Linked DNA regions of Caenorhabditis elegans. The protein of the gene in region 3 interacts with the protein of the main gene of each other region in a biochemical or structural test. Each region holds a gene or a part of one and is shown on either strand. Other genes may lie near its edges. The genes, in order: skn-1, pptr-1 and akt-1.

Region 1 (4,929 bases), on a different chromosome or scaffold from region 3:
ACACGCAGGGTGTACGAGAGAATGCTGGAAAGCGCATGTCCAATGGGAAGACGCAGAGGTAAAAAAATTTTGTGACCGCCGTGTCTATTTGCCTGAACACAGATAGACACAGACTTGTGGAGATCGAAAATCGCAACTTTTTGATCCGAAATCTTGGTGCGCGGTAAATTAACGTGCGCAGAAAATTGACCAATTAAATGAAAAACTAGAAGAGAAGGCTGCTGTGGGGGCCGTAACGAAGTCAACGAAAGCTGATAAGACCAGCATTGTCGCTCGCCGCTTGCACCAAAGACGACGACTACAAAACGACTACACAACGGCAGGTGAATGTTGTAGCGAGAGGGCGAGTGCGACCGAATTGTTGCAGGCAGGTAGTAGACGGTGGGAGGTGAAAAACCGAAGATCTGGAGAATGTGTGTGTGGATGTTGATGCAATTTTTCATAGCACGTTGCCCTTAAATTCTGATGAATCCACACAGAAGTAGTACAGAGCAGGACTGTGCGGAAAAATATTTCGGCAAACGTACAAAAATGAATATAAAAATGTAGGAAAATGCTCGCTCAATCTGAAAATGATATGTATTTTTGTTGGAAAAGTTTGAAAAAGACTTTCAATTGTGCCGTCTTTTAAAAAGTTTTCAAAAAAAATTTTTTTTTCAAACCGAACGAGCATTTTCCTACATTTTAACATTAATTTTTGATTCAAAAAGTTGATATATTTTTCGAAAAAAGTTACAAGTCTAGTACAGAATACTTTGAAAAACGATTGAAACTGAAACTCACGAAACCGAGAGAACAGTTTAAAACAATTATTCAATAAACTTAATGCTTGGTGGTACTGCTGAGAATAAAAAATTTGTTTTGATTTAATTTCTTCTCAACGCCTAATTTCAAAATGCGTGCTGGTTTTCACGTTTCCAAAAATCCAAGTTTTTTTTTGGAAAGGAACCAAAAATTCAAAAATAAAGCATATCAGTTTGAAGTTTGTGCCAAGACTGATAAGAAATATATGAGAGATGCAAAAGATATCACTTGACGAGAAAAAGAAAAGATTTTCGATATTCTAAAAAAGAGAGGTTTGGGTGCACACGGAAATCGGATACATCTACAATTGAGCTACAACTGAATTATTCAAACCACCTGCGTCAGACATGCATGGGAAAATTGAATTATCCACACACCTTCTTCCCTGTTGATATGTGATCAGAATTCTTCGAAATCTTGGCTAAAAATAATTATGATACTAAACCTGCTACAAACCACGTGTTTTTATTTTTATTATTACTACAACAAAAATAAAAACAAGCGCATAATAGTCTGATATTTGGTTGAAAATCTCAATTAATCAGAACATATCCTGTTTATTTCAGGATATTATGATCAAAAATCGCGAAATTTAGAATATAGTAGTTCCGTCGGAACTCAAAGAACTCAATCTTTCTGTTTGAGTGTACTGTGAGTTTGACATCATATTTGGCTGTTTATGAATTCTCGTAGAACGTGATGTTCAGAATTATATTTCTTGACCTCAACCGTGAAAACGAATAGGTTCAGCATGTCAAATACATTGCAATTCAATTAGAATATAGTAGAAGAAAGCTTCTACTCATATTCTGTCAATAAATAATCATACTTTCAATTTTTACAAATCGAAAGCTGTGATCCGAATTTCAACTTATACCAATTCCTTGATCCATTGCGTGCAAAAACCCAACTAACCATGTCAACCGCACCCATTCACAATCAGACCACAGATATGATTCAAGTCATTTTTTCGGTTTTAAACGTCTCATTTCCAGATGATATCATCTTGCACCGAGAGCGTCAATTTAATCAAACGGTTTGATCAAACATTGTACGTGGTGGTGGAAAACCGTTGTTGATAGTCGCTGTCGGCGTAGCAGAAAAAGTTCGAAAAATCAAGAGCCTCGTGGGGTGTCTATCAGGATGGTAATGCTGCTATCAAGCTGGCATATAGGCAATCGGGGGTTTGCGATTTTGGAGCGACTCCGGCAAGATGTTTGTATAATATACATATATGGAGGACAATGTACAGACAGTAATATTTTAGGCTAAGTTTAAGATTGAAGAGATTGGAAAATATCTGAAAATCTGATGATCTGGCGGAAGAAGGATTTCGGAAGGGAACGGTCTTCTTAGCGGCTCTGAAATACAAAGATCACGCTTTCCATTGTTTTCTTGAATTTTTGAAATTCTACTTTTCAGAGGACTTCGACTTCGTCCTCTGGCATTTACGAACATAGTCGTTCCGGCATCATTATTGCAACAGAGAGAGAGAGAGAGAGACAGAATGAGCCGTGAATAGTTTCAGACAACGAGGCAACTGTGACATTCTACATGAGATAGTTGGGATTAACACGTAACAATGCGGGAGACCTAGATAACGAGAGTGATGTGACTGAAGTGATAAGAGGAGAAGGTGGTCTGATATGGAGTTTGGGAAGGAAAAGCTGTTCAAAGTAAATATGTTACGCGGTCTTTGAGAAATGATCTATAACCGGGTGTAAATAAGAAAAAATGTTTGAATTTGAACTTGAAAAATCATATTTTTGAAAACTCGACTCTCAATTGTGGTGTATTTTCCCTATTTTAGTCTACTCGAATTAATAGAAACTTCCAAGAATAATATATAGGTAGATGATGAAAAAGCTTAAAAAAGCTAAAAATAGGCTCCACTCAGATCTTGGTTATTCTTTTAGTTTTTTTTCTTGTTTCTGAAGAAATTAAGTAATCCGTGAAGAGAAAAGCCATGTTTAAGGTTAAAGCTGGAATTTTGAGCCAAAAATCTTGGGAAAAAATCTACAAATCTTAGTTAAAGTTGGATTTAGAACATGAAGAAAACAAAAATTGTAAATGCAAGTAATATTGAATCAGAATTGCAAGAGTTGACTGGAAAAGTGATACGAAAAGTCATGCTCTCCCGTGAAATGATGATATTCTTCAGGTCTTTTTACTTGATAAAACCAACAAAAAAAAAACTAACCGACACTCCATAAATTGACGTCGTCTCTTCTTCGTCGTCGGCTACCGAAGAGAAGCACTGTCTTCGTCTTCGTTTATCGTCTCGTCTCGTCGCCGACGTACTTCGCTGACGGCGTGATGAACCGCCCATCGACTGACTGGATTATGATAGATCCTGTGAGAATGAGTGGAACACTTCTCTCAACAATATTCGGACACGGACTCGCGGCTGAGTGACCAGAGTCCGATCGACGGAGGAGAAACGCGTGAACGACGACACGAGGCCTTCTCTGCAATATTTTGAGTTACAACAATTTTTTTTCTAGAATTCAGAAAACGGGAATTTTCGGAATTACAAGAACTATTCTAGAAAAAACTAGAAACTTCGTTTTTGGGGAATTGTATTGTCTACAAAAACCTACAGTATTTTTTTTCAAATTTAATTAAAGGAGGAATATAGTTTGTGGGAGGTTTTCGCTTAAAAAAAACTAAATCTGGCACAAAAGTGCCGAATTTCATAGTGATATTTATTTAAATAATTTCAAAAACGTTTATGACTGGAAAAATCGAAAAAACATTCAAATTTTCCACACATTTTGGTCGAAAATAAAAAAAAAACGGTGTTTTAGCTTTAAAAAAATCCAGAATTTAGCAAAATTTGGACCTTATTTTTCGATATTTTCAGTTATACATTTTTCGAAAATTTTGAGGCAATATTAGTAAAATCAGATTAAAATAAGTTTAGTGGTAGGAACTTGATTTCACAGTTTCAGAAAATTTTAATAATCATTAAACCAAGTAAAGCAACAAGAAAGAGAAAATAAATTAGGAAAAATTCAAATTTTAGATAACAGAATTGGTTTCAAAACCAATCAACAAAAAATAACAAAATTTCCTCCACAAGACTGCAATAAAAATCTTTACTTTTAATATATTTACATATGGTACAAGTTTGGGGAAAAGGCAGAATTCCAGCAGAAAATTTGAAAAAAAAAACTAGAAATCACAATGAAAATTGAATATTTTTTAAAGAAGCGTCCCTGAGAAATTGAAAAAAAAATTTCTAGCGTTGAAAATGTTATTCTACATTTGATCCCGTGAAATCACTAAATAGGCGATCTGAGAGCATCGCATTGAGCACACGCAGCTTTGAGATCTGTGAGCATTAGAGCCATTGCACGAGTCCATCGAACATCTGTGTTGAGTGTCATAACTGCATTGTATTTGACACCATTGTCAACCAGTGAATCAGCATGAATTTGATATGGTGGTTTGAAATTTTTGTTTCGATCCTGAAAAATGTATAAAAATTAGGGTGTTTCTGAAACCAAAAAATTATAAAATCGATCTTTATACCGGAAAATGAATATTGTAAATCCATTCTTAACGAGATGTGAAATTTTACAGTTTTGCTCCAAAAATACTTTAAAAAACCCGATTTACTCAAACTCATAAGGGATCGTGCGCCTTTAAGGCCTACGGTATTTCCCAACTCCTCAAGTGTTCACCCAATTATTTAAATAAAATTTATTAAAAAACATGTAAAAACACGCCAAATTTCGTAGAAACGGGCGGAAAACTAGGAAAAATCACTCTTTTTCACTAGTTTCTTTCAGATTTGGGTTGGTTTTATACCTTTTTAACGTAAATCGGTTGAAAAATGGGAGTTGGGAACTACAGTAGGCCTTAAAGGTGCACGATTTTTTTGAAGTTCAGAAAATCTGTCTATTTTTGTATTTTTGAAGCAGAAATCGCATAAACTTTTGCAAATGGGTAATACGAAAATAAATTCACAATACTTATTTTTGATGGATATGTCTTTTTTATTCTGTACAGAGATCGATTTCAAGAAAACTCCCAATTTTTTAACCAACTCCGAACGGCAACATATTTTCCCACAAACCTTGAGCTCTTTCAACAAAAACTCGAGCAACTGCAAGAATCGAC
Region 2 (4,764 bases), 6.1 Mb from region 3:
AAATTTAACACAAAAAACGCTATTTTACATAACTTTTCACAAGTTTTCGGTATTTTTCAAAGAAAAATCACAAATTTTCACCCAAAACACCACAAATATGACAATTTTAATATCAAAAATTGCAAAAATGGTCCAAATCCATGAATTTTTGCCGAAAATTGAGCTTTTCGTTGCAATTTTCTCATTTTTAAGCCATTTTTTAGCGATTTTTCAGCGAAAAAAAAAATCCAGTATTCACCTCAAAAACATATTATTGATATGTTTGCGAATAAAAGCCCGAAGGCCCAAAAATTTTCCGTAAATACGATGAAGAACCGTCTTCAAAAAGTCTCGTTCACGTGGATCCTCCGAATCGAATAAATCGAGCAGCTTGAGCACAAATCTCTGATCAATATACTTTTTACCGATTGAAGCTTGGAAATCTGGCGACTCAAGGAATCTCAGGAAGAGCTCGTAGACAAGCTGCAAAATTCGTTTTTTTTTTTTTGATTTTAGGGCAGTTTTTCCAATTTTCAGTGAATTTTTGCAGATTTCTGATGATTTTAAGCATCTTTTAGCTCCCAATTTGGCCAGAAAATGGCCTAAAAACTCAAATTTTGTCGACTTTTCTGAGTTTCAGGTGAAATTTGGCCATAGAAGACGGAATTTCATAACAAAATTCATTAAAAACCGCTCAAAATCTCGAAAAATTACATATTTTCAGCTGAAATTTCAAATTTTGCCAACTTTCCAGGTTTCACAGCGGTCGGAAATTGAGAAATTGGCGATTTAGGCTGACATTCGACGAATTTTCAGCATTTTTTGATGGCCCGGAGCCATTTTGGGTATAATAGAGCAAAAATTGATTTTTTTAAATAGGGGTCTTTTGTAATAAAAATAATCAAAAATTGCTGAAAATTCCGAAAAATGGTCGAATTTCAGCCTAAATCGCCAATTTTTTAATTTCCGACCGTTGTGACACCGGGAAAGTTGGCAAAATTTGAGATTTCAGCTGAAAATGTCATTTTATGAGCTGTTGAGCGATTTTTAATGAATTTTGTTATAAAATTCCGTCTTTCGATGCCTTTCTCGGTCCAAAAAGTGGCCAAATGCCATCTGTAACACGGAAAAGTTGAGAAAATCAGAGTTTTTAGGTCATTTTGTCAATATTTTTTGATGCACTGGGGCTATTTTTGGTATATTGGAGCAAAAAAACGCGGTTTTCTGCTATAATTTTCAGATTTTCGATGTTTTCAGGATGTATCGGGGTTTTTTTTTGCCAAAAGGAAAACTAATAATTTTCCAGTCGAAAAAGTCAATTTTTTGGACCAAAAATTAGTGAAAAATGCACTTTTTGCTCTATTTTTCTGAAAATTGCATTTTTTTTTCGATTTTTTTTTGTCATTTTTCGGCTTCCTGGAGCCATTTTCGGGTTTTTCTTGCATTTCCAACCTGTAAATGTGGCCACGAGACTTCTAAAGTCGGTTCATCCTCTTCTGGATCAAATTCACAATTTTCTGATGGTGGAAGTACACGGAATATATTCTTGGCAACCATTTTAATGACAGCCGGATAAATTGTCTCAACAATTGCTCCTTTTGTCGATGTAATGTGATCGATGAGCTCATTTAGAGCTGCTCTTTTGATTTCTTTGCATTTCAGTTGAGCTACTGGATCATAGAAATCGAATACGTGCTGACATTGGACGAGCTTTTCGATAACGAGAGCCGGTTGCTCATTTGCAGCAGTATCTGGAAAAATTGAAGTTTTTAAAGATTTTTAGCGGTAAAATTGATTTAAAAGGCTCAAAATAAATTCAAATTTCGATAAAAATGGCGAAAATCTCAAATTTTGCAGCAGCAATTGAATTTCTTTTAAAAAATTGATGATTTAGGCCTTTTTTCGGGGTTTTAGCAGGGATTTTCGGCAAATTTTCACTGAAAAACCCGACAATTTCGGCTCAAAAAAAAACCGACAATTTCGGCTCAAATATTCTGAAAAAAGGCTAAATTTGAAATCGGCAATTTTTGCAGATTTTAGAGATTTCAGACGGCGTTTTTCAGAATTTTAGTTCAAAATTTGGCTCAAAAAGACCAAATTTTCTTAGTTTTGGGTTCAAAATTATCCGATTTGTCAAAAAATCTTTTAAAAAAAAGACTAAAAACTCCATTTTTACGAATTTGCAGCGACCGAAAATCGATTTTCATCGAAATATTCCTTTATTTTGAAGATTTTCGCGATTTCTAACGCGTTTTCCCGTCGATGTAGGTAAATTTTCACGAAATAATGTAAAAATACAACATAAAAAAGTTGATTTACTTGAAAATAGTGTAAGTTTTCGTTAAAAACTTTAAAAAGAATCACAAATTTTGTATAAAAGTCGAAATTCACACTTTTGGGACAATTTCCGACAATTGTAGGCTATTTTCCAACTTTTCAACGAAAATTATCCTAATTTTCAGGCCAATCGAGCATTTTTCAACATTTTTTCACTAAAATTAGCATTTTTGGACATTTTCCCTGAATATTTGCCTGGAATCGACTGAAAACTGCCAAAATCTGCGGCAGGGTGGCAAAATGCGAGTTTTTCGCTATTTTTTACTCAATTCTTCGAAATTTTTTCGGTTTTTCATCTAGAAAATCCAAAAAAATCACCTTTGATGAGCGCCAATTGTACGAGTTCTTGAGCCGAATCAACATTATATCGGCTGCTGTTGTTGATGCGCCTGAAAATATCGGGAAAAATCGATAAAAATAAATTAAACCAGCCACTCACAATCGTCTAGAAGTTCCTCTTTTATTATGGAACGGATCGATTTTATCAACAAATTGATTAGCTGTCGCCGAGAGTTGTTGGCCACCGGTGGCGGCTCCCTGTGTCCGTGGCGGCGGAATTTGATGCGGAGCGCCCGTTAGACTGTGCCCGCTTCCGTGCATTTTTTTTTTTGATTAAAAGAATTTATCTTCTTCAACGTCTTCTCGCCCTGGTTGTGTTCGAGCGAAGTGTTGAAACTTCGTGTAGGAGGGAGCAGAGAAGCAGACGGCGAGAGAGAGATTTCTGGGCGCTTCTGCAAAATGTATATATATATATATTGATTTTTTATTGCGAGAGAGTGAGAGAGAGAGGGTTTTTATTAACGCGGAATGGTGTAAAAGAGATAGGCAGTGGTTATCGAAATTATGATAAGAAGAGAGTGAAAGTAAATGGCAATGTAGGTCGACAAGTGATCAGATTCGGGAATAAAATGTATTGAAATGGGTTTTATTTAATTTTATTCAATTTTTAACCGAAAAAAACGCAGGAAAAACGCTCAAATTGTAGACAAAACATCGATTTAACGTAAAAAACAAATTAAAAAACGAGAAAATCTCCGATTTACATTGGAGCGCACTTACTGATCGGTGGTTTGCCGCGTTTTTTCTAGTTTTTAAAGCTTCCTTGTGGTAAAAATTTGCAAAAATGCCTTCATTAAATGAACAAAGCAATGGGCAATGGGGCCAATACACAGAAAAAGTGAAATTTTGAGAACTATCACAAAATTGATTAAAAAAACCATTTAACAAGAAAAACTAGATTCAAATTCCCGCTCCGCAAATTTATCAATGGAGCACGCTTGCGAATTTGTTTTTTATTTGTTTTTTTAGATGGAAAAACTGAATTTCGTCGAAATTTAGTTGAAGTTTCAGAGTTTTCAGCGTAAAAACTGCTTTAAAAATTAAAAAAAAATAAAACAACCGAAAATTCTGTATTTCTTGCTGGTTTGCTCACTTTTAGCGATAACCGCGGGGAAAATTGATAAATTTTGAGAGAGGAGTGACAGTTTTTGCTGGTGTAAAAATGTGCCAAAATAAACGAATTTCGTTTAATTTTACCTATGGCGGTTGAAAATATCGATAAAACTGGGCATTTTTATCTAAAATCCAGCTGGAAAACTAGCTTTGCCAATTTTTCGTGTCGGAAAAAATTTTAATTTCCTACCGCTACGACATATAAATTTTTGGAAAAATCGAAAATTTTGTCTAATTTTTAAAAATTATCAAGTTTTTTCGAAATTTTGAACTTCGAGGTCTGAATTAAAAAAAAGAAGCCTCCATAAAAAATTTCGGGAAATTTAAGAGTAGTCTCATTACAAAATTCGTTTATTTGAGCGCATTTTGAGTCTAAAAAAGCAAAATCCTTTAATTTTTCATGCGCATGACCTACGCAGTTCGCGCATAAATTATATTTTATTCCCTACAAAAAACACGAACAATGTTCCAAATCGCTTAATAAATTCAGTGAAAAAGTTGAAAAAAAGAGACAAAAAACTCTCGCTCTCACACGAGGTATAAACGTCAACGTTTTGTTGTCTTCTCTCACTCTGCCCAGCCACAGAGAGAGTTAGTTGATCGAGAGAAAAAAGACAATCTCTCACCCGATGAGCGCCGTTTGTGAGCGGCGCGAGCAGAGTTCGTGTGCATTCCGGAGTGCACAGTGATGCAGACACTGAGAAGACGTCGAGAGACGCAGACACGTCGTGCGCACTCGCGCACGCATTTGCACACGGAAAGGCCGGAGAGTGTGGGAGACCGAGAGAGAGAGAGAGAGAAGTAAAGGAATAATATACGCACACAGGCCATCACAGGCCACTGGAGACGACGGAGACGTGAAGAAAATGAAGAGGAGGGGCAGTTTATGGGGGTGGAAGTAAATACGGGGAGAAAAAGTGAGAATTTGCACAACTTTCAGATGAATAGAAAAAGCTTAATTAAAACGCAAACTTCTGAAACTTTTACCTAAAGGCG
Region 3 (6,508 bases):
ATGAAGCCGAAGTTAGATGTGTCGCCTTCTGTGATAAGCTCACTGAGCTTCCGTTTACTAAGGATTGGAAGATCGGACAAGTTAATGACTACGTTAACAACCTTGATGTAAGTTTCATAATGATTTTAATATTGAATTTAATATTAAATTATTGAATTTTCAGTTCGGCAGAACAGATTGTGGCCTTCCAATGACTTGGGCAACAGAAAATAATCTCAAGTTTGATGTCTTCATTATCTACACCGACAACGATACCTGGGCTGGAGAGATTCATCCATTCGAAGCCATCAAAAAGTATCGTGAAGCTTCTGGTATTCATGACGCGAAGGTCATTGTGATGGCAATGCAGGCATATGACTACTCGATTGCCGATCCATCTGATGCTGGTATGCTCGACATTACCGGATTCGATTCGGCTGTACCACAGATTGTTCACGAGTTTGTTACTGGAAAGATCTAATTTATAGTACTGATCTGTTATTTATTTCGCATGTTTCTTTGTTCATATTTTGTCATTCCATAATAAAAATACGAGGATAAAATTCTTTCATTTGGATTGTTGGATATGATATAGGAACATAGTACATCCACGAATGATGGCGCTATTTGGTTTTCACAACCGTAGCTTGTGAGTAATATTACAAAACGATGATGGAATTTTGAAATGGAAAGAACTACGGTCTCAGGTGAATAAAAAGGATAGTATACAAAGGGAAGGAGGCAGAACAGGAAGAGATGAAAACAAAGAGATTTCTCATTTTAATTCGATATTTACTGAGAATAGATCAAAATATAGTCACTGTAACGACTAAATATTTGTTTAAAAAAGGATATCTGAATGTCAGACAAAGGGGTCAGTTTTCTACAGTCTGCAAAACAGGCTAAAATCGCAATTAATTAAATTCAAGCCATTGTGGTGTCAAATTATCCCATATCATAATCTTCGTTGTCTTCACTTGCTTCATGAATTCGATTGATACTTCCCATAACATTGTGGAATGAGAATTGTGTGAAGTTTGATTGCATTTCTTCTTGCTCATCGACTGTAGCAAGGGCTCCGCTTCTACTAGGCGGTGTCAGTTGAACTGGTTGAGATGTGAATTCCTAAAATAAAATCTTTGTTTCTAGTGAAAAAATTTAAAATGTATTAGTCAACTCACATTATCAAAGTAACTAGTATCAGTTTCTGACTGCACATTTGGCTTATATGGTGGCTCGATTTCTTTTCTGTACGTTGCTTCCCAATCGACAGTACGGAAAAAGTCTGCTCTACAAATCTCCAATGCATCTTCGGGTCCACCACCCAATCGCTGAGTTGGATCTTTGACAAGAAGTCCGGTGAGCAAAGTTCTAGCTTCTTGACTCAACTTGCTTGGGAACCTTAGATCACCAGCCATGATAAGTTCGAATAGTTTATTATGATCCTTCGAATAAAATGGAAGCCTTCCACACATCATCTCGTACATCACAACTCCAACTCCCCACCAATCAACACAACGTCCGTAGTCATGATCATCAAGAACCTGCAATTAAAACATTTAAATGTGAGAAGTGAGTGAGATTTTTTTACCTCTGGTGCAAGATACTCCGGAGTTCCACAGAAAGTACTTGTTTTGTCACCAAAACTGATTTCTTCTTTACATAATCCAAAATCCGCAATTTTAATATGTCCATCTTTGTCAAGAAGCAAATTTTCAAGCTTAAAAAATATAATTTAACTTGTATACAGACTTGGGGAAAATCCGAATGGCGAGCCGATAGTTTTCTTAGTTTTTACATGTTCTACAACTATCCGCTATGTGACTACTGTATTCTACTTCTATAAATAAACATTTTTCTAACCTTCAAATCTCGATAAACAATGCTATTTGCATGAAGATATCCGAGAGCAAGGACGATCTCAGAGCCATAGAAACGGGCTCGAGGTTCTGAGAAACCCTCTTTGTTCATCTGCACTTCTCGATTTAGATGATAATAGAGATCACCGCCAATGGCAAACTCCATTACGAAACACAGACGATCGTTTGTTTGAAACGAGTATTTCAGTTCCTGCAGTAATACAGAAATAAAGCGTGGAAAGAGAATAAAAACTATAGGGTTGCGAACTAAGAAGATAAATTAGTGAATCGGAAAAGAAGCGTTACCATAAGAAGAAAAAAAAGAAGCATGACATAAACTGAGACATTACTACTTACAATGTAAAATAAATAAGTTGATAGCATAACGTTCTAAGTGTTTGAATCTTGCTATCCTACGTAAAATTCAACTGCGGATAGTTGTAAAACATTTTTGAAACAAAATAATCTATGTTCGGCTCGTCATTCAGATTCTTCATCGTCGAACCTTCATATCACGGTAGACAATATCGCATCGGTGAAGGTATCCGAGAGCAAGAACGATCTCGGCTCCGTAGAATCGGGCTCTTGGTTCACTAAATGTTCCACATTTACGTACATGCGTAAAAAGTTCTCCACCATTCGCAAACTGCATCACAAAACAAAGATAGTGTTGCTCTTGGAAACTATATTTCAGTTCCTGAAAATACGACCACAAACACTATGGGAAAACAATAAAAATTACGACAATAATTGTACTCTCAGGGGTAGAAGATTATAGGAGAAGGACGTGCTGGGGTTAAAATTTAAACAAAAGTGAGTGAACTGAATCAATAAATAAAAATAGTTTTATAAAAAACATACCGTAAGGAACGGATGCTTGCATCTTTGAAGAACTCGATTTTCTGTCAAAGTGTGAGCAACTTCTTCGCGAGCAATGATTACATCTTTTTTGAGAATTTTGATGGCATAAAGCTTTTGAGTACGCTTTTCCTTGCACAAGATAACTTTTCCGAATGTTCCTTTACCGAGCACTTTGAGAAAATCGAAATCTTCCATTGTCTGTAATTTTTTTTGCAAAGGTTTTTATCAGATAGGTTTTCTTACGATTTTGTCTCTTTTAGCAGCTTCGCTGGTGTCAGCAATACTAATCATAGACGCTCTGAAGTCAATTGAACAATTATCACCGTGTCCCGAAGATGGTTGACCCATAATTGCATGCGCTGCACCAGCAAATTCACTGTCTTCATCAATTTTTGGCTGCTGATTCTAAAAGAATTTTTCAAAAAAGCTGGATCAAGGTGTAATTTTTACGGTTTCCATTAATTCCTCTTGTGGATTTGCATTTGTGCCTTTGTATTTTTTTGAAATGCTCTCAATAGCATGAATCCAACGCTGACGAACTTCTGCCGACTCCGCATAGAATGTTCGCTCAATGACAGTTGTCCACTGAAGGCATCTTACCATGAACATGTTAGGTCGTGGTTTTTCGAATAACATTGTCTGAAAATAAAATATTGCAAAAGTAGATGATTTTGCAGAATGATGTTTAGAAAAATAAGCTCATCTCTACTTACCGCTGCATCCTTGATCATAAAATCATTCAATGGCTCAGGAAACGGTTGTCCTTCCTTAGGCTTTGCTCGAAATCCAAGTAAGGCTCCATCATTGAATATCATGAAGTATCTGAAATTATTCTACGTCATTAACTTTCAATCTTTTATCATCTTTGTTTTTTTTGTTATGTCACTCTGACGAGTTTCTTTTTAAAATGTTTTCAGTCACTCTCAACTTCCGCACTCACTCATTCTCTCTTTTTTCAATTTGATTATTTTTCGCATCGCTCACTCGCCGTTCACATGTGTTTATTATTTTGGAACATTAAATGAGAAGGGTGACATACTTATGGATAGAAGACATGCACACTCAAAAACAAAAAAACCATCCAAAAATACTGCACAAAATCGTGTTTTTCATTTTTTGAGTTTTCTGTAATCACAACAGTTTCACTTCCGTGTTGCTATTATTCAATTTTTCAATGTACTGTCTGTTAGGAAAATGATATACGTTTTTAGCAATCGTGAATATTTCATAGATATCTTTAATTTTCGGTTAATTTCAGTCGTTTGAAAATAATTATATTCTGAAGCGAATAGTTGTACTATGTAGCGTAGCAAACATAGAATCATCTGCTCTACCAGGAAGTCACATCATTCCCCCTTCATAAAAACGTTTATGAAGATTTTTCAGCCGGAAAAGCATGATAAGAGCGAGTGCGCGGCAAAAACAAATCAGTTGACGTATATGATGAAGCGGATATATGAATTTATGTAGAAAACAAAAATAAAAAGATTAACGAGAACAAGACTCATCGGAGTTTTCAAGATAAATTTTGATGTGAAATCATTAACTAACTTTTTCGAGCATAAAAATTATCGAATCAGTGGTAATATATGATCAGTACCGATAGAAAAATCAAACCTTGGTCTCCAGTTTCGAATGTGCTCTCCTTTCTTGTGAAGCCATCCCTCAATGACAACATCTTCTTGTCTTCGAGACTTCGTTGACAAGCTTGTCATCGACATTCTTTCACCGGCGCCGTCGTAAACCTTTCGGGAGAAGTAACGTCTTCGACTGAAAATTAGAATATTTTTTGATCGAGATTCATTATGTTTTTAAGAAAATCAGTTTTAACACTTTTAATTCGAAAATGAAGGAAAACATAAAAAAAAAGAAAAGCGAAAAAACACACGAGAGAGTTTTGTGACAAACAAAGCAGAGGGACGGAAATTGACAGAATTTGAAGAGAGAGACATAGGAGTTTAGAGAAAAAAGAGGTGGTGACCCTATTTCAGCGGAAACAAGAACACGAAAACATTTTCAGACACTGCCCAGCAACAACATCATGAGTAACGCTGCTGCTTCAGAATATCGTTTTCTGAGTGTTCGTCTGTGGTTTTTTGTTTTCCAACAAGGAAGAGATAGGAGAAGCAGAAATAACGGGAACGGACAACCAGTGGAAAATAAGAAAGAAAATATCGGTTTTCTGGAATTGCCCGCTTGGAAAACAAGATTATTTCTACGATAACACCATGCCACTGATCATAAATTTCAAGTTTTTGATCTCTGGCATTTTATACACATCGATACTGTATAACATGCAAACAGAAAGTTTACCTGTGATGTACGAGCACTTTTGTTATCGAAAAATCAACAAAACAACGTGAAATAGAATAACAAATTAACGGCAAACAATTTTTGAATAGGGATACTATGAGAGCCGAAGTATACAAGCGAAAAAAGACCATATTGGTTGAAGTTGATAAATTTTCAATAGTCTGAGAACCATTTTACGGCTGTATAAATATACAAAAACGACTTATTTTTAATTATTGGTTTTTAACTCAACCTTATTAGGCATTCAATTTACGGAAATCATGTTAATTATTATTTCTCTAGAATTTCTCTTGAATTATAAGCCACTTTAGAAACCCTATAAACGAAAAAAAATTAATCGTGAGAAAACATTAAGAGACGGAGAATGAGAAAGGAAGAGATGAACCACGCGGATTATCATCACGTAAAAACAAGAGGAGAGGTTTTGATACACTTTTCGCAGTTAGTGATTAGGCCACTGCCTCTTGTCTGAGCTTTCGAAGAGAAACAGATTATTATGCACCACGACTGGCATACGAACATACAAAAAAGCGGGGTGATTACGCCATGGGAGAAGGAGCGGAACTGGAGCACATACGTGGAAAGACGCAGACGGAACGTGCCTAAATTTAATCGATCGGAACGATATATTAGAGACATAATAATAACGAATTAACTGTTAAATTGGGAATATATTTGAAAAATAGACACTTTTTCAGATTTTTTTTCAGTAACAAAATTAGAAAATCTTCGAATGTGGTTTCAATGCCATGATTTTTTGATTAAGTGAACGCGAGAAAAACCGGAAAATAAGAAGGAAAAGCAACAAACAGAGGCGCCGATAGGGTTAGACCGGGTCTTGAACTGACGGTCTTGAGACGAATACAAACAACTTGATGAAGGAAAAAGAGAAAGTATGTGGGTTGTTGATGAAATCTCCAAAAAAAAAAAAAAATAGAAAACAAAGTTTTTCTATCTAATTAATTTTTGAAAGCATTGAAAAGCTTTTTTAAACGTTTTTTTTTAAACAGGAACGTTCGAAAACGAAAAAAAAAACGGTTGTGTTGCCAGACTCCGGTTGAGTTAGATATCGGGCACGAATATCGGTGTTGCCAGTAGTATACAGCAGTACGGAAAAGTGCACGTTTCGATCAAAGGCCGCGCGTGCTTTGCTTCGCGGAATGGATGATCGGTGACGCCGGACGGAGAGAGGGAACAGGCGCGGCGTCGAGCCGCAGACAGAGCGAGATAGTACATGCTAGAGTTGTTTACATCCCAAAACGAAAACGAAGAGGCTTCGCGACAATTGCAAAAAATGAATTGTCCCTGCTTTTTATGAGGTGAATATTATTGGAAAAAATTTAAGGGGAGAACACTAATTTACATCTGAATGAAACAACAAAGAAATATGAATTTTAAGAGTATTTTAGGAGTGGGAGTGATGAAAGCTTATTATATTCTGAAAATAAAAATAAACTCCCACGCGCGCGAGTTCCAAAATCGAAAAATACAACAAA

What was found.
Region 1: of the proteins of akt-1 (region 3) and skn-1, one has a biochemical effect on the other in vitro, tested with the Caenorhabditis elegans proteins (one study listed by BioGRID).
Region 2: of the proteins of akt-1 (region 3) and pptr-1, one has a biochemical effect on the other in vitro, tested with the Caenorhabditis elegans proteins (one study listed by BioGRID).

Annotation. Positions count from the first base shown.
Region 1 is NC_003282.8:5,657,252-5,662,180, forward strand, and holds the start of skn-1 (Protein skinhead-1), read right to left. Parts: upstream 3,134-4,929; coding exon 3,005-3,133; intron 315-3,004; exon of another isoform or gene 165-314; intron 120-164; exon of another isoform or gene 67-119; intron 1-66. Other genes in the region: bec-1 (Beclin homolog), read right to left, coding at 4,089-4,274, 4,886-4,929. UniProt on the Caenorhabditis elegans protein: Transcription factor. Required to specify the fate of ventral blastomeres in the early embryo, and postembryonically for the development of the intestine. Directly regulates expression of zygotically expressed med-1 and med-2 to direct mesendoderm development.
Region 2 is NC_003283.11:16,355,804-16,360,567, reverse strand, and holds the start of pptr-1 (Serine/threonine-protein phosphatase 2A regulatory subunit pptr-1), read right to left. Parts: upstream 3,048-4,764; 5' UTR 2,917-3,047; coding exon 2,756-2,916; intron 2,706-2,755; coding exon 2,635-2,705; intron 1,731-2,634; coding exon 1,432-1,730; intron 463-1,431; coding exon 239-462; intron 1-238. UniProt on the Caenorhabditis elegans protein: Probable regulatory subunit of serine/threonine-protein phosphatase let-92 which negatively regulates the insulin receptor signaling cascade composed of daf-2, age-1, akt-1, akt-2 and sgk-1 by promoting the dephosphorylation of akt-1 on 'Thr-350'.
Region 3 is NC_003283.11:10,246,868-10,253,375, reverse strand, and holds akt-1 (Serine/threonine-protein kinase akt-1), read right to left. Parts: upstream 4,472-6,508; 5' UTR 4,421-4,471; coding exon 4,317-4,420; intron 3,522-4,316; coding exon 3,413-3,521; intron 3,339-3,412; coding exon 3,150-3,338; intron 3,105-3,149; coding exon 2,943-3,104; intron 2,898-2,942; coding exon 2,700-2,897; intron 2,536-2,699; coding exon of another isoform or gene 2,344-2,535; intron 2,050-2,343; coding exon 1,843-2,049; intron 1,700-1,842; coding exon 1,571-1,699; intron 1,524-1,570; coding exon 1,161-1,523; intron 1,105-1,160; coding exon 925-1,104; 3' UTR 531-924; downstream 1-530. Other genes in the region: rop-1 (RNA-binding protein RO60), read left to right, coding at 1-107, 164-460. UniProt on the Caenorhabditis elegans protein: Acts downstream of PI3 kinase age-1 and kinase pdk-1 in the daf-2/insulin receptor-like transduction pathway.